Diceros bicornis minor: one gene and its partners. The protein of the gene in region 1 purifies or fractionates together with the protein of each later gene. This does not show direct contact. Links are inferred from orthologs where the notes say so. Each region holds a gene or a part of one and is shown in the gene's direction. Other genes may lie near its edges. The genes, in order: CDKN2AIP, KPNA1 and XRN2.

Evidence for each region.
Region 2: the proteins of CDKN2AIP (region 1) and KPNA1 purify together in Homo sapiens (co-immunoprecipitation; 4 studies listed by BioGRID and IntAct, with this or other methods). This does not show direct contact. The link is inferred for Diceros bicornis minor from reciprocal best matches to the Homo sapiens genes CDKN2AIP and KPNA1.
Region 3: the proteins of CDKN2AIP (region 1) and XRN2 purify together in Homo sapiens (affinity purification with mass spectrometry; 4 studies listed by BioGRID and IntAct, with this or other methods). This does not show direct contact. The link is inferred for Diceros bicornis minor from reciprocal best matches to the Homo sapiens genes CDKN2AIP and XRN2.

Annotation. Positions count from the first base shown.
Region 1 is NC_080768.1:15,319,722-15,330,135, forward strand, and holds CDKN2AIP (CDKN2A-interacting protein), read left to right. Parts: upstream 1-6,360; 5' UTR 6,361-6,423; coding exon 6,424-6,695; intron 6,696-7,143; coding exon 7,144-7,274; intron 7,275-7,958; coding exon 7,959-9,307; 3' UTR 9,308-10,068; downstream 10,069-10,414. UniProt on the Homo sapiens protein: Regulates DNA damage response in a dose-dependent manner through a number of signaling pathways involved in cell proliferation, apoptosis and senescence.
Region 2 is NC_080754.1:23,340,944-23,350,416, reverse strand, and holds the start of KPNA1 (importin subunit alpha-5), read left to right. Parts: upstream 1-5,019; 5' UTR 5,020-5,169; intron 5,170-9,473. UniProt on the Homo sapiens protein: Functions in nuclear protein import as an adapter protein for nuclear receptor KPNB1. Binds specifically and directly to substrates containing either a simple or bipartite NLS motif.
Region 3 is NC_080758.1:47,784,500-47,794,552, forward strand, and holds the start of XRN2 (5'-3' exoribonuclease 2), read left to right. Parts: upstream 1-5,402; 5' UTR 5,403-5,444; coding exon 5,445-5,519; intron 5,520-5,962; exon of another isoform or gene 5,963-6,288; coding exon of another isoform or gene 6,289-6,357; intron 6,358-10,053. UniProt on the Homo sapiens protein: Possesses 5'->3' exoribonuclease activity. May promote the termination of transcription by RNA polymerase II.

The DNA of each region.
Region 1 (10,414 bases):
CATCCATGCTAATCCTCCTCTTTTTGCTGAGGAAGACCAGCTCTGAGCTAACATCCATTGCCAGTCCTCCTCCCTTTTTTTCCCCCAAAGCCCCAGTAGATAGTTGTATGTCATAGCTGCACATCCTTCTACTTGCTGTATGTGGGACGCGGCCTCAGCGTGGCCGGAGAAGCGGTGCGTCGGTGTGTCGGTGTGTGCCAGGGATCTGAACCCGGGCCGCCAGCAGCAGAGCACGCACACTTAACCGCTAAGCCACGGGGCCGGCCCCCCGATAGTTTTAAGACAATCACAAATTCATGTACTGGAGCCCAGGGTACAAAGAAGCACTAACTTCGTATCCTTCCAGCTCCTAGTTTCCAAATTGCCCAATAATTAAGCGGATTATTGTTGTCATATCTTAGTGCCTGGACTTAACAAGTTTTAGCTCAGTTCCTATTTCTTTTGCAGCCACTACACCTTGTGAGTTAATCAAAATTGTAGATTAATTAAACTTCAGCAAGCAGCAATATGTGACAGCAGACGGAGTCCTAGACCAGAAGTCTGCAGACCAACTGCCTTGATTTCTCATTCTTGCTCCTCCATTAACCAACTGTTTGACCTTGGGCAATCATTTAACCCCTCTGACCCTCAGTTTCCTCATCTACAAAATAAACACAATCTTAAGGTCCCCTGCTTCTATAACTTTCCATGATTCTGAAGAGCCAGTATTAAGTTTGCTACCTTATGGGAACTGGAACTGTACTTCTCCAAATACTAACTTTGATCTGTATCCGTATCTCTTTCTTAGATTTACTCCACATTCTGGGATAAGGCACAGGTCAAGAGTTTCACAAAGAGATGGGAAATTACACATAATAATACTTTATCTTGTCGGCATTAGGAGGAACATGAAGGCTAAAAAGATGGAATTGTTTTCAGGATGGCTCTGTATAAAAGTGTATAAAGAAATATAAGAATTGCTATCAAAAGATTTGATCACTTTGGCTAAGATGTGGAGGAAAGTAAGTCATCCTGATAACAGGGCCTCCCATAGGAGCATTGTCTTGTGTCACTTGAAACTGCTTACTATCATCTTTTCTTTAAAATCTTTTCTGGTATTTGCTGATCCTTCTGTTCGTATTGATGTCATCTCCATTTCCTTGAGTGTAAATTCTTTGTTTTATTGAGTTTGTTATTTCCCTTGCATGATATTGACCCTACACAGATGTTTTATTATTCTTCGGGTAGGCACATGACACAGACCTGTACAATTACAATATTTCACACCCCTGGCTAGAGTGTTTATTTAAGGGATATATATATATGACCCAACAGAACCAATGGCTTCCCAGCAGAACCTCAGGACATTGGCAGAAACTATCAAGCAAGATAAGTTCTCTTTCTACTGCGGCTGCCAAGCTATGGAGGATGTATATGCCATAGGCTGCTGGGAACCATCTTGCCCCTATGTAAGAAGAGCTTGCCCAAGTTTGAAGCTAACACAGAGAAAGCAAAGTCTAGAGATGAAGAGAAACAGACTTTCTGATTATATTATTTGAGTACCTGGAGCCCACAGTCTACTCCCTGGGCTGTTATATACAACACAGCCAATAAATTCCCTTTTTGTTTAAGCAGAAGCAATTTTAAGTCACAATTTTTTGTTACTTGCAACTGAAATTAATCAAAATAGAATTTGTGAACCTGCAGAGAAAGTCCATAGTTCTTTACTTCTTCACATCGCTAGATGCCCAAAGGGCCTTTATAAAATTGAAGTAATTGCTACACCACAGGAAAAGATGGTAAAGCGGAATCACATCATATCTGACTTTCATTTACATGCTGATTTTAGAAACTACCCCCCATGAAAGATGTAACGTCACAATCTTATTTCTCACAGCAGCAAACAAATTTATTGACATTTATTAATGTTAAGGCTTAATGTAAAAATGAAAAGACACAAACCCTGCAGGTAAGCAGGAATAATTCAGAATTCTCCACCTGCTGCCAATCCCCACTAGGGATTAGATTTTCTCTTAAAGCCAGATTTTTTGAATGTCCAAATATGTGCCATATGGTTTCTCCTCCAGAATCTTCTTACATGATGTGGGAATCAAGAGCTAACTGTCTAAAGATGATAGTATAATTAAAGATTAAAGAATTTAAAAATTAAGTGTAATAATCTTAAAGATTAAGTATAATATTTAAATTTATGAAAGGTGGCCAACAGCAGAACAATAAAAATATAACTAACAAAAATTGGGAGACAGAAGGGGTAGTGTAAGTAATATGGATTTATCATCTTTCACATTCAGGAGTGAAATAAGTACTGCTTAAAGTTGAAAAATCAAGAAATAGAAACATAAGCCTATATTTTGGAGTTACAAAAATAACCACCCAAAGAAACAAAGAGAGAAATTGACATTAATCTGATATATGCAGAGTGGGACCAGGCACAACAGGGGAGGGAGATTTTTACTGTCATTTATGCCTTTTAATTCTCTTTAAACGTTTCATTTTTGTGTGCATGTGTAATTTATAATTTTTAAAAAATTGGCCAGAACTTAAACTATGTCTTTCCAAGACAGCTTGCTCTCCTGCAATCTAAAATGTCCATTTCAAGCAGTCTCTACTTCATCAAATGACCTCCATCTCAATTCCCCACCCCCAAACTTACAAACCTTTTTTTCCTTTTAAAATGCAGCAGATGTCTCTCTGTCTCCCTGACGTTAATCTCTCCACCTGTGTGTTGGATCCTAGCCCCTCTTGCTTCTTCAGAAATTATGTTACCCTCTTTTTCTTCAGTATCCTCAAACTCTCCCTCTATCAGCCCCTCCCACTCAGCAGATGCGCATGCTCAAGCTACTCCCATCTTCAATTTAAAAGCTGCCTGGACCCCATGACCCTGGTCTCCAGCTTCCTCTCTCTTATCTCCTTCACAGCCAAATGTCTCCATTTCCCACTCCTGAACTCACTCCTGTATGGAGTCTGCCGCCATCACTCCACCAAAACTACGTTTGCTAAATTTGCCAGTGGTTCCAATCTCCAAATCTGACCATTAAGACCAATATCCCTCTTACTTGATCTCTCCACAGCTTCTGACACAGGGGACCACTCTCTCCTTAAAACATTCTCTTCCTGGACTTTCAGGACACCACGTCTTATCACCACTGTGATTTGACTGACTTGGGACCTCATACACTCTTTTGTGTACACGTTTTCCCTTCACTGTGGACTGCTTCTCAAGTCAAGCCATAACCTTGGCCATGACATTGACTAGAGCATTTGCTCTCTGTGTCCCACATGCAGACCTTCACACCAAGTGCTTCCTTAGTCCTCTGCTTGCTGCTATGATCACCCTCAGGAGCCGGGGCCATGCCCTTTAGGGGAAGCCATCTGGCAGAGAGGCCAGGTTGCTGCTGGAACTGTTCTTTGGATTTCTTCAGAGACACAATGTAGCAGCAGTTTTAATGAACGTGCTTCCACTTGCGATGGAAAACTTAATCTTGTTAAATTAAGAGAATTCAGTCGCTTATGGCTTAAAACTCAGTTTGGGAGTGGTGGTGGATAGTTCTCGGTTGATTAGGATTCTCTCCCTGTCCTTCTCTGATCTGGTTTCTAGTGGCGGCAGTGGTGGGGGAAGAGGCTTCAGTATCATCCTAGCATCATCTCTGTAATTTATAATTCTGTGCCTTCTTCCCTGTGGGATCCACTGAGAGTGCACTGTTGGATCTCCCAGCACAAGTGCACAAGGGTCATTGCAGGAGAGCTGGAGGGCTCTCCTCTGTTGATTTGGCCCCACATGGATCTCAGGGGCCTGATGACTTGTTAAGAACTAGCTGCAGCCGCCTTTGCAAACCTGGGCTGTCCACCCCTCCAGCATCAGTCATATGGACCATGGTGCCTGGGAAGCACTTCAGCATTCCTCTAGGGCCTGTGAGAGACAAGGCGTGGGGGGGTGGCAGGGGAGGAAGGGAGTGGTAAAGTTGGTTATCAGAGCTATAAAGGGCCCTCTAGATGCTCTTTCCTACTCTTTTAAAGGCCAACCCAAGCTGGCTCAGGGCACTAAATGGGCTGTCTTCTCCCAAAGGTCCAGGCAGAGCCAACACTGCCCATCCCTACCCCCATTCCCACCCCCACTGATTTTCACCAAGTTCTCTTCTCACCTTTTCTTTCTAAATCCCTCCTCCAGGGCCAGCCCCGTGGCCTAGCGGTTGAGTGCTCACGCTCCACTGCTGGCGGCCTGGGTTTGGATCCCTGGCGCGCACCGTACAGATGCACCGCTTCTCCAGCCATGCTGAGGCGGGTCCCACATACTGCAACTACGACATGTAACTGTCTACTGGGGCTTTGGGGAAAAAAAAAGGACGAGGATTGGCAATAGATGTTAGCTCAGAGCTGGTCTTCCTCAGCAAAAAGAGGAGGATTAGCACGGATGTTAGCTCAGGGCTGATCTTCCTCACAAAAAAAAAATAAATAAATCCCTCCTCCAGCCCGGGAAGGAATTTGTCTCCTATGGAGAGAAGCCGTTTTTTTTTTTTAAATGTATGTTCTTCTTCTCAACTTTGTGGTTAGTACTCTATGGTTCTGAATCTTTACATGCAAAGCCAATTTCTTAAGAATCAAAAAGAAAAATACATGTATCTTTTCTGTCAAGCACCTGGCTCTTACAACTAAGAACTCCACCCTGAGACCATATTGCTTTTATTATAACTTTAAAAAATATTTTTGAAATTCAGGCTCTCTTTGCTCTCCCTTCAAGGCAATGAAGCCCGTGGTGGGAAGGCTACAGGGCAACCAGGAAAAAAGAGAAAATTCTTGGTTTAAAATGCACAAACATCATCTAGGTATGTAATCATAGATTCTTTTACTTGCTTATCTCCCTCTTGCTAAAGAATTCATGAAAGGAAAAAAACCATGAAATTTCTCCAGTCTTTTAAATTGCCAGATTTCTGCATCTTTTCAACCCTCTAAAGTTTCAGCAATTTTCAGTGAAAAGGAAGAAAAGGAAAACCAGAAGCAAAATTCCAAGCTTCAAAATTTCTTTGTGCCTATGTTTTTATGCAGATTCTTTTGGCATGGCAAGAAAGTGGACAATATCATTTCCATGTAATAGCTGAATTTTTTATTGTTTTCGCATGTATATAAATGACTTGGCTTATCTTTTTTGGCTAATCTTATCTAAGCGACCATTATTTTGTCTTTTTTTTTTTTGCTTGGTTAGTATGATTCAAGCATTTTAAAATCAAAATCTACATTTAGTGAAAGGAAAATTTCCTCTTGTAATTTATCATTACTATATATCACTCATTTTAACTTATTAAAATTTATTAATCTGAAAGTACACATATGCCTGAAATTGGAAAGATAACAAGCAAGCAAACCGGCAGTAATGCCGTTAAGTGTGGACATTCTAAAAGGGGGGAAAAATGCAAGGCAAAAAACAGCTCCAGGAGGGAAAGGTTTGGGGCGGGAGAGGCAAAGAGGCACTTTTCCACGCCGCCTGCTAGCTATTTGTGCAGTTGGGGGGTATTGGGATATTGTTACTTGAACGAAATACGACAGATACAGAACGTCCACGGCGCAGTCCTGTTATTGACCAAAAACGGCCGCGAGACGAGGCGGGCATCGCCCGGGATGAACTGCGGAAACGAAACCAACCCTGCGGGGCGAGGGTGAGTTTCAAAGACTGCACTCCCCAGGGCAACGGCGACCTGCATTAATCGTTTAGCTTTATGGTGACTGCTGTTTGAGTTCACATGCACCCCCGCATTCCTAAATGCCCCGCCATCCGGACGGCCTCGGAACGCTTCGCTTGTCCACATTCAGAAGCTGCTTTCTGAAAGAATCAAAACATGGAGGCGAGCTTTTGTTGATCTTGGCCCGGCTGAGAAGCAGCGTCTGCGGGCGGAGGCGCGCAGCCCCCGCATCCGCGCGGCGGCACGGTCTGCGGACGCGCGCGCCGCGGCCCAGGACTTTGGCGGGCTGCCCTCTGCTGCCCGCGCCGCCGCGGCCCGGGCGGGGCGGGCAGGCGGCGGGGGCGCGCGGCGTCACAAAGCCCCGCGGGAACGCGGGGGCCCCGCCGAGGCTCCAGGCGCCCCCGGCGAAGCCTCTGGCGTCCCGCTCCACCCCCCCGCGCGCGCGCCCGTTCCTCCGCCGCCCGGCGGGGCCGCCGCGCCGCAAAGCGTGCTGGGAGAGCCGGCTCGCGCCGGAAGGACGCGCGGGCGCTCGGCGGCGGCGAGGTTATAAAAGGGAAGGAGCCGGCGGCGGGCGGAAGTGGGCGGTTCGGGCTGCTCGGGGCGCTGTTGTCTGGCGTTTGAGCCTCCCGAGGGGCGTTCTCTGTCTGGCCGCCGGTGCAGGCCGCAGTGACAGGGCCGCGCGCCCCCGCGCCCCCGCTCCCTCCCGGTGCAGCGCCGGCTCGCGGCCGCCGCGGCCCGCAGGCCCAACATGGCGCAGGAGGTGGCGGAGTACCTGAGCCAGAACCCGCGGGTGGCCGCCTGGGTGGAGGCGCTGCGCTGCGAGGGCGAGACGGACAAACACTGGCGCCACCGCCGGGAGTTCCTGCTCCGCAACGCCGGCGACCTGGCCCCCGCGGGCGGCGCCGCCTCCGCGGCCCCGGAGGACGCGGCCGACGCCGAGAGCGGGACCCGCAAGCGGCAGCTGCAGCAGCTCATCTCCTTCTCCATGGCCTGGGCCAACCACGTCTTCCTCGGGTGCCGGTGAGTGGGGGCGCGCCCCCGAGCCGCCCTCCCCGTTTTGTCTGTCGCCCCCGGGCTGGGGCCCAGAGCCCTCGGCGGGGAGGGAAGTTGCGAAGCGCGGGAATCGGCGGGCCCGGCTGCCCTCTAAGCGCGAGAAGGGCGCCTCTGCCCGAAGCCGACATGATTTACAGTCTGGAGGTGGCCCTGATGGGTGGGGGCTGCTGGGCGAGCTGTTGGCTGACAACGCTCTTGTGGATGGACGCTGCATTTAAAAGTTGCCGAAGAGGGACCCCGCCTCCCAACCTTGGGGCGTTTGTTGATGGGCTTCCAGGAAACCGAAAGTTCCTGGCGGTTGGTGCACTTTTTGATTACAACCAGGAAATGCAGTTCCTGTAGCCGGTTTGTGCACACCAGCAGTAGTAGCTTAGAAAAAACACTATTTTTAAAGTGTCTACTCCTTCTTTTTCAGGTACCCTCAAAAAGTTATGGATAAAATACTTAGTATGGCTGAAGGCATCAAAGTGACAGATGCTCCAATCCATACAACAAGAGACGAACTGGTTGCCAAGGTGAAGAAAAGAGGGATATCGAGTAGCAATGGTTAGCAGATCATAGATGTGAACATACATAGGAGTTTAGAACATAAGTTTGATATAATTAGGAACTACTGTTACTACTAATTTTTTAATAAGCTAGAATTTATATAATGTTATTAATCAAGTTGGAACATTAAACCTAAATTATGTGTCTGTGTATTTTAGCCTCTGATTTTGATAGTTTTCTTTGATTGCTTTAGATTTTGAATTGTCAAATGTTGTCTATACTGTTTATTTTTTATTTTTTTTGTGAGGAAGATTAGCTCTGAGCTAACATCCAATGCTAATCCTCCTCTTTTTTTGCTGAGGAAGATTGGCCCTGGACTCACATCCATGCCCATCTTCCTCCACTTTATATGGGACGCCACCACAGCATGGTTTGAGAGTGGTGCCTTGGTCTGCGTCCAATGGGGAATCTGAACCTTTGAACCCCCGGGGTGGCTGAAGCAGAGCACGCCCACTTAACTGCTGTGCCACTGGGGCTGGCCCTGATTTCTTAATATTAGTAATTAATGATGTTATTCAATGCTGTTTTAAGAAATTAATTTGTTATTATACACTTTTTAAAGAAACTACTAGTCCTGAAATATTTCGCCTTGTGCCTTTATTTTAATGAATATTTGTCTTGTAAATTTTCAGCAGATGTGTATGAGGTAGGCTTAGTCACATATGTTTTCTTTCTTTTTAGAAGGGGTAGAAGAGCCATCGAAAAAACGAGTCATAGAAGGAAAAAACAATTCTGCAGTTGAGCAAGATCATGCAAAAGTTTCTGCCAAAACAGAACGTGCATCAGCTCAGCAGGAAGTCAGCTCAACGTGTACGGGGTCATCTGTGAAATCCGAGAGTAGTGGGAACTCAACTCGGAGCTCTGGTACCTCGAGTCAGAACAGCTCGACGAGTGATGGAGATCGGTCTGTTTCCAGCCAAAGCAGCAGCAGCCTTTTCTCTCAGGTAGCAGCGGCAGGGTCTGGAAAAGCTTCTGAACCCGAAGCTGCAGATAAACATGGTGCAGCGTCGCTTGTCTCTTCGTTGTTGAAATCCAGTGTGAATAGTCATATGACCCAGTCTACTGAATCCAGACAACAAAGTGGATCACCTGAAAAGAGTGCTTTGGAAGGCTCTTCAGTCTCAGCTTCTCAAAGCCTCTCAGAGATAGAGGTGCCCTTGTTGGGCTCCTCAGGAAGCTCAGAAGTAGAGTTGCCACTGTTGTCTTCTAAACCTAGTTCAGAGACAGCTTCAAGTGGGGTAACTGCCAAAACTAGTTCAGAGGCAAGTGTTTCATCATCCGTTTCTAAAAACAGTTCCTCATCAGGCACATCCTCGCTAACTCCCAAGAGCAGCACCTCAACACACACATCGCTGCTGACTTCCAAAAGCACTTCGCAGGTAGCTGCATCACTGTTAGCTTCCAAGAGCAGCTCCCAGGGCAGTGGGTCTCTGGTTTCCAAAAGTGCTTCCTTAGCGAGTGTGTCCCAGCTGGCTTCCAAGAGTAGTTCTCAGACTAGCACATCACAGTTGCCTTCTAAAAGTACTTCACAGTTAAGTGAGAGTTCTGTTAAATTCTCTTGTTGCAAGTTGACCAATGAAGATGTGAAACAGAAGCAACCTTTTTTCAACAGACTGTATAAAACGGTGGCGTGGAAGCTGGTAGCTGTTGGTGGCTTTAGTCCCAATGTGAATCACGGAGAGCTCCTAAATGCAGCTATTGAGGCTCTGAAAGCAACACTGGATGTGTTTTTTGTCCCGCTAAAAGAACTGGCAGATCTGCCTCAAAATAAGAGCTCTCAAGAAAGTATTGTTTGTGAATTGAGGTGCAAGTCTGTGTATTTGGGCACTGGCTGTGGCAAAAGCAAAGAAAATGCAAAAGCAGTTGCATCCAGAGAAGCACTGAAGTTATTTCTCAAGAAAAAGGTGGTGGTAAAAATATGTAAAAGGAAATACAGAGGCAGTGAAATAGAAGATCTAGTACTCCTTGATGAAGAGTCAAGGCCTGTAAACTTACCTCCGGCGTTAAAACATCCTCAAGAATTACTATAATATGTCCAAAATATCACTGCATACAGTATCTGGTATTTGACGACAAAAACTGGCTTACTTTTGTACAATATAAAACAGGCTTTCACAAATTTTGTATTGCTTTTTTCCAGTTTTGCAGAAAATTTACATTCTAGTTCTCTTCACACAATAGGAGTTGTAAATAATTTATGAATGACAGTACACATTAAAAAGTATGCATTAACGGCGTACCAGTATGCTGTTTTCGTTTGCTGAAGAAAATACTGTCTTCTATTTTTAATGATACATTAGGTACGATGTGTAGTTCTGTAGTCTTAAAACTTTTGTACTTTCAATTTGGTGAAAATGTATTGTCTACCATGCATTTTTTTTTTCTAGCTGAATAAACCTCCACATCCAAGAAAAGGGGACCATAGTATTTGAATGTCTGAAAGTTTGTGAAGCTTAAGGTTTTAAGAATGTTGCCCATAATGTTGAACGTGTCTCTTAAAGAATAAAAGAAAAAATAGTTGCCTCAGACTATTTTTATGAGAAGTTGTAAGCATTTTTTAGATATAAAGCAGTATAAAGTACTTAAGGTTATTTTATTCTGAAGTTGTTTAAAATTCACCATGATTTTGCTGCAGATTCTTTAAGTGGGTTAATTTATGTTTTGAGGTAAAATACAATTTACACTTTTTCTTAACATAAATGTGGGTTTCTATATTAAGCATATTTTGTGACTACTACTATTAACAGATTGATTTGTTTAGATATTAAATGCTTTAAGCTATTTTACCTTTTCAAGAAGTTGTGTTTTTTTTCCCCCCAAGTCAGAACCAATTACTGCAAATAGGCTTCCTACTACTAGCCACTGTAAACTGCAACCAGGTAATTTTTCATAGCTGATATACAACTTTTTATGGGTAGAGAAGTTACAGTTTGCAAATCTAGAACTAGATGGTTCTTTTGTTTACAAATCCCATAGAAGAATAACTGGGCAGACTAGAGAGCCAAGCTCAGCTCTTCAATGAGCCTGATCAATTGAATTAACATTTGTTAGTAATGAAATGGAATCCTCCTGTGTGTCTTAGGTGATTCTGACTGTATTACTCTATTGTGGTATATTCTGTTTCATTTTTCTTCAAA
Region 2 (9,473 bases), on another chromosome or scaffold:
ACCAACTGTCCTGATTTGCCTGACCTTCTAGGCTTTAGCACTCAAATTCCCACATCCTGGGAAACCCTCCCAGGACATACAAAAAAATCCCTGTCTTCTGTGATGGATGTGGAAGGTTGAGGGAAAAGTACAAAAGCCATATGACAGCCACAAAAATAGGGACTGAAAGTGACACCGCTTTTAGTGTCAAATGGATATAGCATAGATTATTTGACTTCTATAGCCATTATCATTGTTTTTTTCCCCTGCCCCCTGATATTGGTAACCATGATGTGCAGTTCACAATAATGACCATCCATCGTTACGGCATTCTGAGTGATGTGACTTAAGTGTGCAATTTAAGTGTGTTGTAGTCATAAGCACTGGCAGTCCATCTTTGGATTTGCCTGTGGATTAACCATTGTGCCTTGTACAAGTTGAATTTTTTAACATTGTGAATATTGTGACCATGTTTTATAAGAGTGGAGATAATGAAAATGTGAATGATTATAATACCAACAGCAGCATGACCCAGACACCACAGCAAAAGAAAGCTTAATGACTGTAATGTTAATGACAGATGGTAGGACAAAATAACTGGCTTAGGAAGGTAAATAACAAAAACAGAGCATACTGTACAATATGGAGAGAATTTGGGATTGGGTATGGTAGACAAGAGGACGTAAAAGCACATATAGAGACTGAATCTTATACGTTTGGGATGAGATAGACAAGTACTTCAAAATCAATCAGAAGGTTTTGTTTCCCCAAAAGACCCAATGCTCAGTTGAACATAGTGGCTGCTGAATTATCGTGGGCATATCTCATGAACCAACATGCATTATTGTATTGTGCGTTTGATTGCTCTATGGAACCGAGTAAAGTTACATTTCCTAATTCAAAATAACGTTCCCCCTAGCTCTTAAGGTAATTTGACTTGAAAAATGGAGTTCTGTCTATCAAGATTTTGAGGAAACCACAAACACATAAAACAAATGGTGTTACATCTTGTCCAAAGACAAAGTAGACTTGGCTCATTTATTTGTTTTCTGTGCAAATGTTAATTTTGACAAATTCTATTCAGTTTCTAAACTTCTTAACAAAGAAAATGAAACAATCTCAACTGCTAAACACCTTATACACAGCGCTGCTAAAAGAGGGGTGTGGTTTGATTACCTGTGATCTGGAGGTTTTCATAATGTGTTTGGTCATTTCAGTTTCCTCAAAATGTGCAGAATCATTTAATGAAATTTTTGACTTGATAGAAATGGAAGGAGATAGCTTCCTTAAACATATGCCTGCAAGATGGCTATCATTGTTGCCAGCCACAGAAAAGATGTTAAAATGTTGGCCTGCCATAAAATCATATTTTCAAAGTGTGGAAGAAGAATAATGTCCTGCTCCAATTTGGAAATATGCTGAGGATGAGAATGGAGAGCATTGCAGTGAAACAGAAATAAACATGCTGGTTCTCCAAAACTGTCTGATAATCCTTGAAGAGGCCACAAAGAGTCTAGAGAAAGATAAACCAACTGCACCTGAGTTATTCAATGTTATATGTAGGTTGTGGCAGAAACTCCAACAAAAAAAAAAAAAGACTAACTTTTTAGAAATAAGACGGTTTTAGAACTGTAAAAAAATGTCCCTAGAAAAAGGCAAGCAAGTTAAACAGAATTGCCTGAATTTTTTTTACTAAAACTGTAAACTTATTTGGAATCTAACTTCAATTTTACAAGTTCAAATTTCCTCTGTGTTTTAAAATGATTTTCCTTGGGGAAGGGAGTTCTAACTTATGATAACATACAACGTGCTTTGCAGTGTTTTAAAAACGACTGGCATTTTAGATACGGAGAGCCTATATGGTTAATTTATAGATGCAAAGGACCTGATTGACAAACAGCTGGTTTACCAAAGCAAGTCTGTAGAAACCAAGTGGGTAGACATTTTGGAGAGCTGGAAAGGAATTCCTACAAGTTCAGAAACCTGCTGTGCTAGTAAATAAAATCCTAAGTTTTTTACGCTCAAACACTTTTGTTGAGAGAATATTTAGCTTGGTGTTATTTACCTCGACAACAGGAATCAATGCAATGCAGGCAGAAGAACAGAGCTGTAAGTCAAAATTAATTTTATACTTGACTATATTCAGTTTTATCATTATGTAAAAGAAAAGAAAGATGTCCTAAAGGCTCCAAGAAGTTCAGAGAAGTATTAATGGAAAAGGAAACTGAAAGAATAAAAATATCCCACTGTATCATAGCACAGAATGAAACATGTTATTTTTATTTAATATAGGTAATATCTGTTTAATTACTTCTATTGTATTTACATTCTCCTTTAAAAAATTCTTACATTTACATATCTTAAGAATATAGAATAATATAGTCTACAAAATTTAAATATGCAATAGAGTTAAAAAAAGAGTTAAATTGCTGTACCCAGACACAGAAAGAAACATAAAAATATTGTGTTATAAAAATAGTTACATTTTTCTCACACATATTATTTGCTTAATTAATCCTTCTACTAATTATTACTAGTTGCCACTTTTAGCTAGTCCTATTGCTATTTTGTTTAAGTAACAGCATTTATGCAACAGAAGAGAAATACAACATGTGTATAATTACTATATATTATTATTTTCACACCCATCAGACTGGCAAAAATAAAAAAAGTCAAATATTTCCAAACGTTTGCAAGGATGTTTAGAAAACAGAATCTTATACGTTGCTTGTGGAGTATAAACTGATACACTATTTCGCTTTGTCATATAACTCAGCAATATCTAGTATATTAGTTTTCTAATGCTATGTAAAAAATTACCAGAAACCTTGTGGCTTAAAACACATTTATTATCTCACAATTTCTGTGGGCCAGGAGTCCAGGCACAGCTTATCTGGTTTCTCTGCTCAGGGTCTCATAAAGCTGCAACCAAGGTATAAGTCAGTCTGTTTTCACACCTGGAGGCTTGACTGGGGAAGAGTCGGCTTCCAAGCTCTCTCAGGTTGTTGGCAGAACTCATTTCCTCGCAGTTGTAGGACTGAGGGGCCTGGCTTCTTACTGGCTGTCAGCTGGAGGCTGCACTCGGGTCCTAGAAGCCATCTGCAGTTCCCTGCCATGTGGCCCTCTCCATAGGCAGTTCACAACATGACGGTTCACTTCTTCAAGGCCAGCAGGAGAGTGTCTAGCTCTGGTCTGCTAAGATAGAGACATAAAGGGAAATGTAATAAAAGGAGTGACACCCCATCGTCTTTGCCATATTTTATTGACTCCAGAGGTAGGCATTATACAGGGCAACACCAGGGGCCAAAGATCATGGGGGCGATCTCAGAATTCTGCCTACCACATCTAGTAAAATTAAAGATGCAATGTCCTAGGATCTAGCAGTTTCCTTATACACATGAAGATACGTACAAGAATGTTCATAGCAGCATTGCTTGTAACAGAAAAACTATTGTTCTATAATTTTTAAATTTTTCAAAATACAAAAAGATATAGTCAGAGAGACATTAGCTAATAAAACACGATGTGTGGTATAACACTTTTGTCAAAGTAACATGTATATAGGAATTCTTCTCCAGCAACTGTTGTTGTCTTGAACAAATCCTACCGCCACTGAGAACAACTGGACAAAATATAAAAAACATTAAGGCATTAACGAGCTACCATGGCAGTGAGAACTTGTGGGTCCAAGATCTGGAAGAAAAGGGAAGCCATGAGAGGCGAGCCTGATGGTTGCCATCACTTTTCCACCGGAGGTGATTGCTAATTCTGAAAGCAGTGGCTGAAAAACCGAGGTCTCAGGATGTTGAGGAGGCCCAGCCATAGAGGAGAGGCCCTAGTAAATACTCCACACTTTTGGTTGGGACTCTCAAGGCCTACCCTCGCTAGGACTAAGGGTGAACTGGAAATAAACTAGCTTTCACAAAGACTTAAACTCTGAAGAAAGAGAGTCCAACTCTGAGTAATTTTAGCTTCTGATTGGGATAAAGTGATCTGTCCTCAATTTAGCTGTGGTCAGGCATACTTGCTCCTAAGTCCCCGCCTTAGAACACCTTCCCTTTCTCCAGCCCCTTTGCTCAAACTCACCTCTCACCCTAGTCAACACAACATCAGTGGGGAATACTGATGGAGCCGAAAGAGCTCCAGGACAAATGAACATGGCATAGCCCAGGATTCCGCTAGCGTGGTCCTCTCTCCCGCATTTATAAATGTATTACTCGACCTCCTCTCTTTCGCCTTGCTTCCTGGTGGGTGTTTTAAATCAATCTGATATCCCATGTCACTCGTGAGACTTTCTATTCCCCGACCTTTGCTTGGCTGGCTTCGGTCTTTCTTCTTTTGAAGCCACTGCTCAAAAAGAAATTCCCCAAAAAGAATTTTTTCAAACTTAGCAGTAACAATGATTTGCCCCAAGTCTTCGTTTGAGAGCATTTAGTGAGAGTTAAAGCAAGTATTTGCGTTTCACTTAATTTCTTAGTGATTTCTGATGCTCCTCATACATTATCAGGCAAAGGGGATGGGAGAGAACTAAAAGAAGGAATACCCAGAAGCTTCCTCAAACGTGCTGCATGTGAATGCCTTAGACATGAGGCGCCGACTTTTAAGACGTTTGTAATACTCCCTCAGCCTTCCTTCGTTTCACCATTCATTCAGCAAACGTGGCTTAAATATCAACCAAGTTAGAGGCTAGCTATAGATAGAGGCGAGAGAAGATCCGTCGGCCCTGGAAGAGCTTCGAAGACAGGTTTGTAGACATAACTTTGCAATTTAACCTAAGAAGTACCGTTTCACTGTCACTCCACCACGATTCTCCGACCTCGGCCATTGACTGCGAACCTCCTCCTCAGCGGGACCTGCTCCCTGACCTCCGACTCCGCACAGACTCGAGGCTAACCTCAAGGCTTCTAGAGGACGACGGTTGGGAGACTACGCCTCCCGGCAGCCTCTGCAGCAGGGTGGTGGAGGGGCGCGCGCAGGCGCCTGGGCCGGTCCCCGCGCGCAGGCGCCCTGCGAACGCCGGCTGAGCTGGGTCTGGCTGCTGGGTGCGCGGCGGCGAGAGTGAGGCCTGGAGAGCACCGCCGCGGCGCGGGTCGGCTCTTCGAGGTTGTGCGCGGGAGGGGTACGGCGGGCAGACGAGCGAGCAAGCGGCTCCCCCCAGCAGAGGCACCGGGATCGGTTGCCTTGACCCTGGTGAGTGCGGGGGCCCCGCGGCCCGGCCCCTCCCCCTCCCTCCGGCGGCTCGGTAGTCCTCGGCGGGACCCGGGAGAGGCCCCGGGGCAAGGGCGGGCGCCGGGGGCGCTCCAGCTCGGGTACCTGGGCCGGGGCGCCCACGGCGCGTCCGTGCGTCACGGGCCCAGCTGTCCTAACGGCCGCGCGGCCAGCGGAGGGGAAGGTGGGGGCGGGGAGCGCCTGTGCGAGGGCCATAGCGAGCGCCGGTCGAGGCGGGGCGGGGCGGCGGCGGGGTTGGACGCGGCGCCGGGGACTGCGGGGCGCCGAGGCAGCGGGGCGGAGAGGAGGCGAGCGCGGAGCCTGCGCCGCGGCCCGGCGCGAGCGGGCGGGGGTGGGCAGCGCGGAGCGCCGTGACTGGGGCAGGGAAGAGCAGGGGGGGCGTGTAAGAATCCTGACCGAGGCGGGAAGGGACCACCTTGGGAATTCACAAGTTGCGGCCCGAGTCCGAGCCGGGGGCTGGGGGGGGCGGGGTGGAGACGGACGACTGCAGTTTACAGATGTCATAACAACATGGGCCCGAAGCGGCTGACGGGGTGTGGTAATTATAGGAATGACAGAACTTCGTCTGCACACAGCGTGTGTAAGTGGTGATGCGAGGGGAACAGCGAAGTATTAGATGAAGCTCAAAATGGGAGGAGAAAACTGGAGGATGACTGGAGTCCGGGAGGTCGGCACGAAGGAGTGTTTTAGGTTTGAATGGGAGTGTTTAATGTTCCACGTTTAAGTGAAAGATTTCAAAATAATTGATTTTCAAGGTTTACATTCAGAATAAGCAATTTTGAAGTGTTTTTTCTAAAACATGCTATTAAATAATATTACTGACTTTTTCAGTATTTTTTTTCCTTTAATAAACAGTTTCTTCACAACTCCTATTTCTTAGCAGTAGATGAGTAAGTGGTTTTTTTCCCCGCTCTTGTTTCAACGCTGACTCTTGACGTTGTTTTTTCCTTAACTTGTTCTTGTATTTGTAATATTTTGAAAGTAATCCACGTTATTCCCCCTTCATTTTAAAGATTGAAGAGATGAAAGTGATTATGAAATCGATTATATTTTTACTGAAATAATTTATTCTTGAAAGGCACTGTTTTATGTGTAATGTGTGATTTTAAGATGGAGGACGTGAGAGAAAGTAAACGAATTAACATTTATTGAGCTCCTTTCCAGGTATTGTGCTCAATACTTGACGTATATTAAAACATTTAATGCTGACAGTAACTCGGAAGTAGATGTTAATTTTTCCTGTTCTACAGATGAAAACTTTCAAGGTCAGAGAAGTAACTTACCTGAGGTCATCCAGCCCTTGTTGGAACCAGCCTTCGAACCCAAAGTCACTGCCATTCTAAGAATGATTTCTCCTCTCCTTTTATATTTCTTGATGGTGTTTTCTTTCTTTAATCCACTCGTTCAATGAACAATTATGGAGTGATCATGTGCCCTGAGACTGGGGATATGGACGTGATCAAGACACTGTTCCTGTCCTCATGGAATTTATAGTGTAGGGGGAGACTAACAAAGAAAATAAATATTGACTGCATGACATTTTATCAGTCATTATGTTTGTTTATTGAGCAGAAACTATAAAGTACTAAGTAGCAAAGGAAGTTAAAATGGAATCAGACAACATAAGCCTTGAGGAGTTTACAATCTAGTAGGGAAACAAAACATACATTTATAAAAAGCTAGAATAAACTAAATGACCGACATAAATGCCTCACCTGAAGTCACTGTACTGCATTATGTTACTTTAGGTCCTCACAGAAGTTTCTCCACAGAACTAGGATTTAATATTGCACCTTGACTTTTTTTTAATTTTTATTTTTTGTTTATTGCAGTAACATTGGTTTATAACATTGTATAAATTTCAGGTGTACATCATTATACTTATATTTCTGCATAGATTACATCATGTTCACCACCCAAATACTAATTACAACCCATCACCACACACATGTGCCAAATTATCCCTTTCGCCCTCCTCCCTCCCCCCTTCCCCTCTGGTAACCACCAATCCAATCTCTGTCTCTATGTTTGTTTATTGTTGTTATTAGCTACTACTTAATGAGGGAGATCATATGGTATTGGACCTTCTCCCTCTGACTTATTTCACTTTGCATAATACCCTCAATGTGCATCCATGTTGTCACAAATGGCTGGATTTCATCGTTTCTTATGGCTGAGTAGTATTCCATTGTGTATATATACCACATCTTCCTTATCCATTCGTCCCTTGATGGGCACTTAGGTTGCTTCCAAGTCTTGGCTACTGTGAATAACGCGGCAGTGAACACAGGGGTGCATGTATCTTTACGCATTGGTGTTTTCAAGTTCTTTGGATAAATACCCAGCAGTGGAATAGCTGGATCATATGGTAGTTCTATCCTTAATTTTTTGAGGAATCTCCATACTGTTTTCCATAGTGGCTGCACCAGTTTGCACTCCCACCAGCAGTGTATGAGTTCCCTTCTCTCCACATCCTCTCCAACACTTGTTGTTTCCTGTCTTGTTAATTATAGCCATTCTGACAGGCATGAGGTGATATCTCATTGTAGTTTTGATTGGCATTTCTCTGATAGTTAACGATGTTGAGCATCTTTTCATGTGCCTGTTGGCCATTGCACCTTGACTTTTATCTAGGATTGGTACATAGGAAAAGGCAACATGAAAAAAAATCTTCATTGCTACCCAAGACACTGTTTCTTATTTATCGATTCTTAATAAAGTAGAGACTCTAGAGACAGATTCTTTTTAAGACCCCATGATAGCCTTTTTCTTTTTTTTTTAAACAAATGACTGCTTTTATTAGATCTTTTGTGTTTTGTAAGCTATCTTGTTTCTCTTTACACTTTGGCTGACAGGAGGCTCAGAGCTGTGTCCAATTTTTGTAATTTTCCTTAGCCTCACCTATGTTATAAATTATACCAGGTAGTCTGGGATTGCTCTCAGTTGTTTCCTGGACTATTTTCTTTGTTCTCTGTTGCTCTTGATGTTGTTTTTACCTTTTCCCTTTCATTTGAGAGTAGAGATTATATCTTATTCTTTTTATCTCCAGTGTTTTAGCATAGTGTTTGTTGAGTTAATGATAAAGTCTTGATTTATGATGTTTGTGTGCTTAAGCCTGTCAGATTGTTTTTAGAAGTATATGTGAATACTTTGTATAAAATTAATTAAGACTTTTGGCCATGTAAATAAAGATGACTGTCCTAGTGATAGAGATAATTCCCTATTGCTCTCTTTGTTTTAAGATCTCTGTACTTTGCAGAGTATTATGAATTCAGCCATAATAATGGAAGAAAAGATGGGAAACGGTAAACAATTAAATTAGCTGATTGGGGCTGATTTCACTCTATTATTGCTGCCGTAAGCAGGAGGTGGCCCCAGGCCATGGGGGGACGGGGGAGAGGTGAGGGGCACATAGGGCGTTAGCAGATTTTGAGGTCCTGCAGTGAAAGAGCACGGATGAAGGCTGATGGAAAGGTAGGTTTTTTTTTTTGTTTTTTTTTTTTTAAAGATGTTATGACCCTACAAAACAGAGCTAAGTGGTAAAATGGTTCTGACCTACTGTAGTAGACTAACTGGGACAGTTCTTGAAAGCAGGCAATAATCCAGAATGTGGATAAGGGGGATAATCTCCTTCACGTAACAAGAATAATGCTGGCCTTCATGTACAAAGATAAGTCTGCTTACTCATCATCATTGATTTTCCAGCATGAGGAGGGATATGTGCTGAGTTGTCCGTGAGTCGCTGTACTCTGTGACCAGCAAGGCAGCTTGGGGTCAGAAGGAGTTTGTAGCTAGGGAACAGAAAGACAAGCAAAAGGCACTGACATCTATTGATGGGTCAAGCACTACATCAGGTGCTTTAATTTAATTATCCTTGCAAAACCACCTTGAGGAGGTGGTTACAAGTGCAGGGTGGTTAGGTAACTTGCCCTGCTTCACAGACTGAGTGGTGGAGCTGGGATTCAAATACAGGGCTATTTGTACTATGTTCACCTCAGTTGTTAAAAGCCTGCTTTTATCTGGGTTTGCAGTTCAGTCTCTCCAGCAGAACAAATGATGTAGTTCGTTTAGCATCGTGAAATGATACTGTAAGGCTCTAATTTACTAAAAGCTGAAAGGCTGTTCAAGTTTCTGGCTTTATTGCCATTAAAAAATACAATTTTTTTTTAGTTAGAATAATATCTGAAAAACAACTGTCCCCTGTCCCAGCCTCCGTACTTGAGAGGCTACCATTTTCTTTCTTTTAGCTGTTTCCTCTTTCATAT
Region 3 (10,053 bases), on another chromosome or scaffold:
AAATCTTAATTTCATCTGAAAACACCCTTGCAGAATTACCAAGAATACTGTTTAACTGGGCACTCCCAAGCCCATTCAAGTTGACACATAAAATTAACCATCACAAGTCGACCCCTTGTCAACCTGGCACCCATATGCATCTTCAAATAAAGACAATAACAAGCTCATACTTCTCCTAACAACTATCTTGTGTACAACCAAAAACTTACTAACTCTTTAACCAGAAGAAGATGCAAAGTCCTTAAATGATGTTTACTCTTCTCCTTGATACCCCGTAACTTAAATACTACTATGTAAAATTAACAATACTTAAATATCGTGATAGTCAATACATTTTATGTTACATGATAAGAGAATAAGTGAAGAAAGAAAACAAAGGTATTTGCTTTATACACACACACAAACATATTCATAACAAAATAAGGAGGAAATACTCATGACAATTACAGTTCTCATTTCTATAATTGGTCACATGGCCATAGTTGATATTCATAACTACCTTCTTCCACTACCCATTTCAAATTTCCTTTGCCTTCTTCAAGCACCTCAGTTAGTCTTGGTTCTTTACTTGGTGGGGTGACACAAACCTTCATTCCTGAAGGGTCTAGGCCATTAGTAGTCCTGCCTAAATTGGGTGGCTGTAGTTTTCCATTGACTTTATTTATTAATTTTTTTTGTGAGGAAGATCAGCCCTGAGCTAACATCCATGCTAATCCTCCTCTTTTTGCTGAGGAAGACCGGCTCTGAGCTAACATCTATTGCCAATCCTCCTCCTTTTTTTTTCCCCCAAAGCCCCAGTAGATAGCTGTATGTCATAGTCACACATTCTTCTAGTTGTAGCCACATACATAGCTGTATGTGGGACGCTGCCTCAGTATGGCTGGACAAGCAGTGCATTGGTGCGTGCCCGGGATCCGAACCTGGGCCGCCAATAGCAGAGCGTGTGCACTTAACCGCTAAGCCATGGGGCCGGCCCTCCATTGACTTTAATCACAGGGCATGGTAATACTAAGAGATTCCCCAAGAGATCTCCTATATTCCAGACATACCCTTCCTTACCTCCTTTGTGGAGTAGCAGTCCAATTTCCTCTTGGTAGTCAAGGTCAATCACCCCAGCCAACACAGTAACTCCCTCTCTGCCTGTTGAACTTAAAATGGCCAGGTGCCAGTCTTAACTTTCAGTTCAGTGGAATCATTACCATGTCTCCTGGTGGAAGCATTCCTTCCTTTGGAACTAAGACCTCTAGGTTCGCAGAGTATAAGGTTACAGGAACAGGAAGCAAAAATTTTGCCACTGGGTCACTATGGGTAATAGTGAGTGGTGCCACTCCTATTTCTACCCCTTGATACCTGGACCTGTGAATCTTGGCTATGGGAGAAATAGTACCATATATGGAATGCTGCTTTAGAGCATATACAGCCTCCTGGAGTACCTTGTCCCATCCCTGCAAGGCATTGCCCCCTAACTGACAGTATAACTGAGGCTTCACCAGGCCATTCCACTGTTCTACCTACCAGCTGCTTCAGGATGGTAGGGAAAACAGCAAGACTAGTGAATTTCATGAGCATGGACCCATTGCTGTTCTTCATTGCTATGAAGAGAGTTCTTTCATCAGAAGCAATGCTTTTTGGAATACCATAATGGTGGATAAGGCATTCTAGTCCACGGGTGGCAGTTTTGGCAGAAGCATTGTGGGAAGGGAAGGCAAATTTGTATCCAGCATGTGTCTGTTCCAATAAGAACAAATGCTGCCCCTTTCATGATGGAAGTGGTCCAAGACTAATCAGAATTAAGGGTCTCAATGCCCCCAGCTCCATCAGTATTCCCACATGTCCTTATTCCAACTTTTAGGATTCCATCCATTCCTTCCCAAACACTGCCCTCACTTTATCAGTAGACATCAGTGAGGCTGGGAATTCAATTTGTTTTGTAATTCACTCCCAGGATAAAGTTCTGAGATAGTAGATAGGGTTCTGAGTTTGGTTTTCAGCCATCTCAGCCCTGTGGCTACAGGGGATAAGGGTTTCTTTCAGGGCAGACATAGATTCTTTTAAGTCATTTATGTGGTGCTTGAGCTGGGAAATTGAATCTCTGAGTTCATCCTTTTCTCTCCCCACTTTGTCCACCAACGTTAGGAGCAACCAGCCAATCCCACTATATTTGTTAGTTTGACAAAAATGCTTGAAGTATCATATACATGGTCACCCAGATTCTTGCTTTTTATAAGTGGTTGATTAGGAATATCCAGTGGTGATATTTTGCCTATCTCTATTGCCAGATCACACCATGTACTATCAGTGCTCTCTTTATTACTGGAAATAGTCCCCAGTGTCTTTAAATCTAATCAGATTAGAGAGTCAATTCCAGAAGCCCCAGAACCAAATCAGAAAATGCATTCTTAAGATTCTATTCCTCTCAAACCATTCCTGGTACCAAAATCTGTATTAGTCAGGGTTCTCCAGAGAAAGAGAACCAATAGGATGTATGTGTGTGTATACATATATATATATATAAAGAGATTTATTATAAGAAATTGGCTCACCCAATTAGGGAGACTGTCAAGTCCAAATCTGCAGTGTGAGCTAGATAACCCAGGAGAGCTGATGGTGTAGTTCCAGTCCAAAGGCTGGCAGCCTGGAGTCCCAGGAAAGCAGATGGTGCAGATGAATTCTGAAGGCAGTCTGCTGGAGAATTCCCTTTTGCTTAGGGAGGCTGGTCTTTTTGTTCTGTTCAGGCCTTCAATGGACTGGATAAGGCCCATGCACATTATGGAGGACAATCTGCTTTACTCTACCAATTAGAATGTTAATCTCATAGGAAAACACCCTTGCAAAAACACCCAGAATAAAATTTGACCAAATATTGGGGCATTCTGTGGCCCTGTCAAGTTGACACATAAAATTAACTATCACAACTATTATTTTAAATACATCAGGTTATTCACAATGAATTTTGTAAAGATAATGAGGCAAAGGAAGCACTTGATAATCCAGATAGCAATAGTTTTTTCAAAATTTTTTAAAGATTCATTTCTATAATTACAATGTTAACAAGGCTTTAAAATGAATTTATGAATGTTCACATTCTGGTTTCTATATAGTCTACACGTTAATGTAATCTAGATGTCAGCTGGGAGGCCTCCCCTGCTCCCTTGAGGTCTAGGCAAAAATGATTCAAAACCTCCTGGTTCCTATCCTACAGAAGTTCAAAGCCTGGTTCAATATTCCTGCTAATTTCCAATGCTTACAAATTCTCACCTCTTCTGCTTCTTGAGCTCTGCTATGCTGCCCAGCCCTGTGACTGTACACCACAGTGACCCCGACATGAGACTCATACTCTTTTTCAAATTCGACAACACAAACCCCACAGTGAGCCTGAGTCTGGTAGACTTTATTAGAAACACTGGGCTGGGGAAGGTATCTCACAATACTTAGTCCATATCCTCCTGCCATCTTTCAGGTTCCCTCTCTTCTCTACTTCCACTTTCACCCTCCCCTTTTCTCAGTGCCCAAAATTCCAATTTTTGTACCTCCTTTATGCAAAGCAATTCTAGCACCCAGGTGAATTAGCTGTGTACTCCTCAAATTTTGTTACTGGTTTGTTTGGATTCTTTCCTTTGCAAGGGATGGGAACTTAGCCCAAACTAGCTTGGGACAAAAGGAGAATTTACTGGCTCATAGAATTAAAGAATAGGTTTACCAACCAAGCTGCAGGAAGAGGGATTTAGCTGTACTCAAAAACCACTGGAACCAGGGACTTAAATCTGCTTCTCTCATTGTGGACTGGCAGCAAGTCCCATTCTCTTTCAGCTTTCAGCTATCTGGGAGGGACTGCCTTACCTTCCTATGGTTCTCAGTTCAAAAATGCTGGGCAAGGACTCTCAATGGCCCAATTTGCCCAGCTGTTCAATCACGTACCTTGTGTGTGGTCTTACAAGAACACAGCACCTCCTAGGGGAACCAAATACTTGATGAGTAGGGCCTGTTTCCAGAAGAAATGAGGGACTTCACAATAGACATAATACTCTGGAATAGTTCTGGCTGTCCTTAAGTAAAATATGGGCTAACCATTTCTCTTAATTTCCACACCAGCAGTTTAAACAGTTTAAAGAAGTTTAAAGTGGCATCAGACCACAGAGGAAGGGGCAGTAAATATTTGCACACCAGGTAGCACGGAGAAATACTTTCATAGAGGCCTCTTGAGGTGAGCCTTTAGGACTGAGCGTGATTTGTCAAGCCAAGAGGGGATTCCATGGAGAAACACTTCCAGGCTTGAACAAATGGACATAAATATCTCTTCTTCCAGATCTCTTTGTATATGCTTAAAAAAAGGATTTGAAGCCATCAGAAAATAAAGAATAAAAGCATCCTGTTACTGTAAGGACAGCATTAAACGATCTTTACTTGGACTGAAACACAGCAGTATGAATAAGCAAGCATAATTTCATTTATTTATTTTTTCCCCCCAAAGCCCCAGTAGATAGTTGTATGTCATAGCTGCACATCCTTCTAGTTGCTGTATGTGGGACGCGGCCTCAGCACGGCTGGAGAAGCGGCGCGTCGGTGGGCGTCGGGGATCCGAACCGAGGCCGCCAGTCGCGGAGCGCACGCGCTTAACCGCTAAGCCACGGGGCCGGCCCGATAAGCAAGTAACTTAACCCCTTTACAGCTTGGCTTTCTCATCTGTTACATGAAGATGATAATATGTTAACACTCTCAGAAGGTTCACGTGACAATTAAATGAGATAATCCCTTAGCCAAAGCTTTAGTACGTGGTAAGCACTCAAATGCTGGAGAGTGATACCAGCAATTATTTTATACTCATAAATGTAGCTGGAAGGTTGAATTAGATGCTAAATGCCGGCTAGATCCCCTTTTATAACTAAAGGGAGTTACGCAAACCAGCCATCATTCGTGTAAAATACCTAAAAATATTCCTTTTCATAGTCCAAGTACGTACTGTGGCACAAAACCGGGAGAAACCAGGCCATAGAAATAATGAGTGTGTTTAGACGCTTTGATTCTACTCTGAATTGAGATGGGTGAGAAAAAGGAGGTGATCAAACCGGCAAGGAAGACCTCCCCGGGCGCCTGCGGAGCACGGGGATCCCGCCCCAGTGGAACCCGAGGGCTGGGGAAGCAAGACGCCGGCGCATCCCGGGATTCCCCGCGACTCACATGAGGTCGACCTCGGGCTTCAGGGCTGGCACCACTGAAAGCTAACGCCGCAAGCGAGGCCAGCCGCAGCCCCCACCACCCGGTCAGCCGCAGAACCCCGAATCCCACAACCAGCCCGGCCCCGAGCCTCCTTCCCGGCTTCCCCGGCGGCGGCGCCGTGACATCACTTCCCGGACGGCGCGCACGTGGGAGGAAGTCCCGGTGCCGCGGCTGCCGCTCCCGCCTGTCTCTGGTTACGTTCGTTCGTCCGGGGCCGCGCCGCCGCTATGGGAGTCCCGGCTTTCTTTCGCTGGCTCAGCCGCAAGTACCCGTCCATCATTGTCAACTGCGTGGAAGAGAAGGTGAGGCGGTGCCTGGCGGCAAGCCCGGAGCCCCAGCGCGTCTGGGCCGCGGCCCTCGGGACCCGCCGGCCGTCCCCGGGGTGCCGTCCGGGGCCCGCGCTGCTCTGTGGGCCCCGCGGGCGCCCGCGGCCCGACACGCGGTTGGTCGCCGACACTCGTTTCCGGGGCCCTGGGAGAGCAGCCTCGGCGGGGCGAGGGCCGAGCGGGGTCTGTGCTCGCTGGAGGGCTGCTCCTCCCCTGCCCGCTTTTTCCGGCCCGGAAGGCCCCGCCCACGGCTTTGTTTCCTCTCGGCACAGCGCATTTTGGGTTTCAGAACAGGCTCGAAGGTGTTGGGCTGCACACGCCTGGTCCGCTGAGTTACCTGGGTAGCGAGGCGCACATGTTGATTCCAGCCTCTTACAACCTTGTAAAGTAACCCCCCGCGGCGAGCTTTCTGTTGTTTACTGCCCGTGCTCGAAAGGTTTTCTCCTGGTGCGAAAGGACTTTTGTTGCTGTTTTAGATCCTACGGTGAAAGCAGCATCTTAGAAACGTCTAGGACGAGATAGAAGTCTCATAAGTGCCCCCTTCTCTAGGTGCCCCGACTGCTGGACAGAATGCTTGTTGAAATTTTCAGAATTCCTGGATGCACTTAAATACTTGTTGTTTGTTTGTTAATGTATATGTAGACTTCTGGCCATTATTGAGTTTTCTCTTTATCGTTCCCGTGATCCCGTCCGAGTTCGATTTTGTGCTTAGAATTTCCGGATTGGGAAGGTTCAGCGGCGCTTCATGCCCCTCGCCCCTTCGTTTTTGAAGGAAGTGCCCGTCAGTCACAGTGAACTGCATTCTTTTGCTGAGGTTGGTGAGATCTTGATTTTTACTTAGCTTCTATCCAGGAGGAACCGAAAGCCTTGTTTTGACGGCAGTTTCAGTATTCCTTGTGTTTTTCCCAAAGAGAAGCTGTTAAACTGAATGCTGGTTTCCTTTGTTTTTAAAACTTCCATCAAACTTTACTTGCATCTCATCCCGTTTCTACTCTGTAGAGATAACCATTTTTAACTGTTTTGGTTCTGTCTCTAGATATCATGATTATGCCTGATTTATTGGTTTTGGATCTATCTGTTGAATTCTAGCTATGATAGAAGAGGATTTCGTCACTTATGCGGCTCCCCCGCCCCATTCCTAATAGTAAATCGCTGTCTTTATTTCATCTCTTGGTAAGCTTTATAACTTTGAGTAATGTGTCTTTTTTATTACATCTTCTATTTAAAGTATCCCTTGACTTCTCACTTTCTAAGGTTAGGTATTAGCTTTTCTATAAGTTTTCTACCTCTGCTGCTCTTACTCTTCACGCCAAGCTTGCCAGCTGTACTTTTGCTTTGTTGGCATCCCAAACTAAATTGTCACGGCTTTGGCTATATATAGGATTGTTTTAAAAGCTGAAAAATCAAATAGTATTGTAAATTATTGTCACTTTCCAGATTCAAGTTATGCTGTGATACTGTTTCTTTTCTTGTGCTACTTTTGTCTTTTTCTTGGTGTTATCTTTCTGTTTTCCTCTTTATACGGTTCCACATCCAAACTCGCTGTTTTATTAGGTGTTCTATCAAGTCCTCTTCTTGGAGACTCCTTCTTGAGGTCTTTATTTCTGTTGTTGTCACACCTGGTTCTTTAGGCTTGCTGGAAAGCTGCTTCCTGAGATTTTTAAAAATTCCTTTCTTCAGTTGAGGGTACTATTTTCTGATCATCTTTCTTGGCCTAAATCCTTCCTTGGTTTTTATTCTCAATTGAATTCTTAAGAAATGCTGTGCAGGGTGTGAGTTTTCTGATTCTGTTCTACCCTTGTACACATGAGTGATCATTAGCTAGGCATCAAGTTTGAGTTTGCAAATTAGTTTCCCTCAAATCTTTGAAAGTGCTGTTCTTTTGACTTATGTCATCCAGTATTTTTGATGAGTTTTTTTTTGTGAGGAAGATCGGCCCTGAGCTAACATCTGCCAATCCTCCCCTTTTTGCTAAGGAAGACTGGCCCTGGGCTAACATCCGTGCCAATCTTCCTCCACTTTATATGGGACGTTGCCACAGCATGGCTTGCCAGGCGGTGCGTCGGTGCCCGCCCGGGATCCAAACCGGCGAACCCTGGGCCGCCGCAGCGGAGTGCGCGCACTTAACTGGTTGCACCACCAGGCCAGCCCTTTGATGAGAAGTTGAATGTTAATGTGATTTATTTATTTAACCGATACTTATGTAGTATTTAACACATACCAGGCACTGTTCTAGGCACTTTATAGATTAATTTATTAAATTCTCATAACAACCACATGACTACTACTACTTACTATTATTATTATTACAGATGAGAAAACTGAAGCACAGAGGGGTTAAGTAATGTACTCAGGGTCACTTGGCTAATACACGGCAGAGCCATTGTCAAAATCAGGAAGGCCATGCTCTTAATTTCTGTGTTCTGCTTTCATTCTTTTGTAGTTGATCTATTTTTCTTTCTGAATCTTTTCAAGATCTTTATCCTTGGTAGTGTAAGTGTTCATGATTATGTACTTAGGTATAGATTTTTTTAAAATTTAAGTTTATTTTGATTGGTGCTTGGCTGACTCTGAGGCTGAAGACGTGTGTTCTTCAGTTCTAGGGAATGCTCCTTGATTGTTTCCTGACCTCCTTTTTCACTGCCCTCTCTGAACTCTGGATCCTGGTCCTCCTAGACTGATGTATTTTTCTTTTGTCTCTCTGTTCTCCCCCTCCTCTCCTCCTCCTCTTGCAGCTTTATTGAGGTATTATTGACCTACAACAAACTGCACATATTTAAAGTGTACAGTTTAATACATTTTGAGATATGTGCACATCCATGAAACCATCACCATAATCAAGATAATGAGCGTCACCTCTAAAACATTCCTTCTGGCCCTTTGTTATTCCTCCCTACAACTCTGTGCTGCCCGTCGTTAGTCAACCACTGATTTATTTCTGACTCTGTAGATAAGTTTTCATTTTCTACAATTTTATATACATGGAATTATATAATATGTACTCTTTGTTTTACCTGGCTCAGTTACTTTCATTCAGAATAATTATTTTGAAATTCGCCCATGTTCTTACATATATCAATAGTTCATTTCTTGTTATTTTTGAGTAGTAGTCTATGTTGTGCATGTATCACATTTTGTTTGTTCCTTCACCTGATTAAGGAACATTTGGTTTGTTTCCAGTTTTGGGCGATTAAACAAAAAAACTTCTGTGAACATTGGTGTACAAGTCTTTGTGTGGACATGTGCTTTCATTTCTTTAGAGAAAATACTCAGGAGTGAAATGGTTGAATTGCGTGGTAGGTGTGTGATTATTTAAAAATTTGCCAAGCTGTTTTCCAAAGTGGTTGTACGATTTTACATTGCCGCCAGCATGTGTGCAGGTTCTAGTTGCTCCACTCCCTCTCCAGCACTTAGTCTGGTTAGTCTTTTTTAGTTTTAGCCGTTCTAGTCTAGTGTTATCTCGTTGTCGTTTTAATTTTCATTTGCCTGATGACAGATGATGTTGACCATCTTTTCAGGTGCTTATTTGCGTGCTGTATATCTTCTTGAGCAAGGTGTCTATTCAGATCTTTTGCTCATTTTTAAGTTGGGTTGTTTGTCTTATTGAATTGTAGAGTTTCTTACGAGTTGATATGTCTTTTGCAGATATTTTCTCCTACTCTGTGGCTTACCTTTTTACTTCTTACCAGTGCAAAGAACAGACGTTTTTAATTTTAATGAAGTCTGTTTTATATATATTTTTTTATATTTCCACTCTTTGTATTGTATTTAACAATCTTTGCCAAAGCCAAGGTCGCTAAGATTCTCTCTTGTGTTTTCTTAGAGATGTTTTATAGTTTTAATTCATCCCATGGTTTCTGTTTTTAGTTTTTTAATATGAATTACATTGATTTTGAAATGTTAAACTCGCCTTGCATTCCTTGGGTAAATCCCACTTGGTCATGGTATATTATTTTTATATACTGTTGGATTCAATTTGCTAAAGATTTCTTCATTTACATTTTTACGTTTATGTTCAAAAAGGATATTTGTCTGTAGTGTTCTTGAAATGTCTTTGTCTAGTTTTAGTTTTTGAGTAACCTTGGCCTCAGATTGAGCTGCGCGGTATATACCCTCCCCAGTTTTCTGGAAGAGTGTGTCTAGAATTGGTGTTATTTCTTGCTTAAATATTTGGTAGAATTCACCAGTGAAGCTTTCTGGGCCTGAAGTTTTGGGGGAAGGCTTTTGTCTACAAATTCAATTTCTTTAGTAGATGTAGAGCTATTCAGATTATCTATTTCTTTTTGAATGAGCTGTTGTAATTTTTAACTTTCACAGGTTTTGTCCGTTTCATCTGAGTAGTCAAATGTGTTGACAAAAGTTGTTCATAGTATTCCTTATTATCCTTTTACTATTGATAGAAAATGTGGTGATGTCACCTCTCTTATTTCTGATACTAATTTTGTCTTTTCTCTTTTGTTCCATTAATAGTCTGGCTAGACTGATCTCAAAGAGCTAGCTTTTGGTTTCA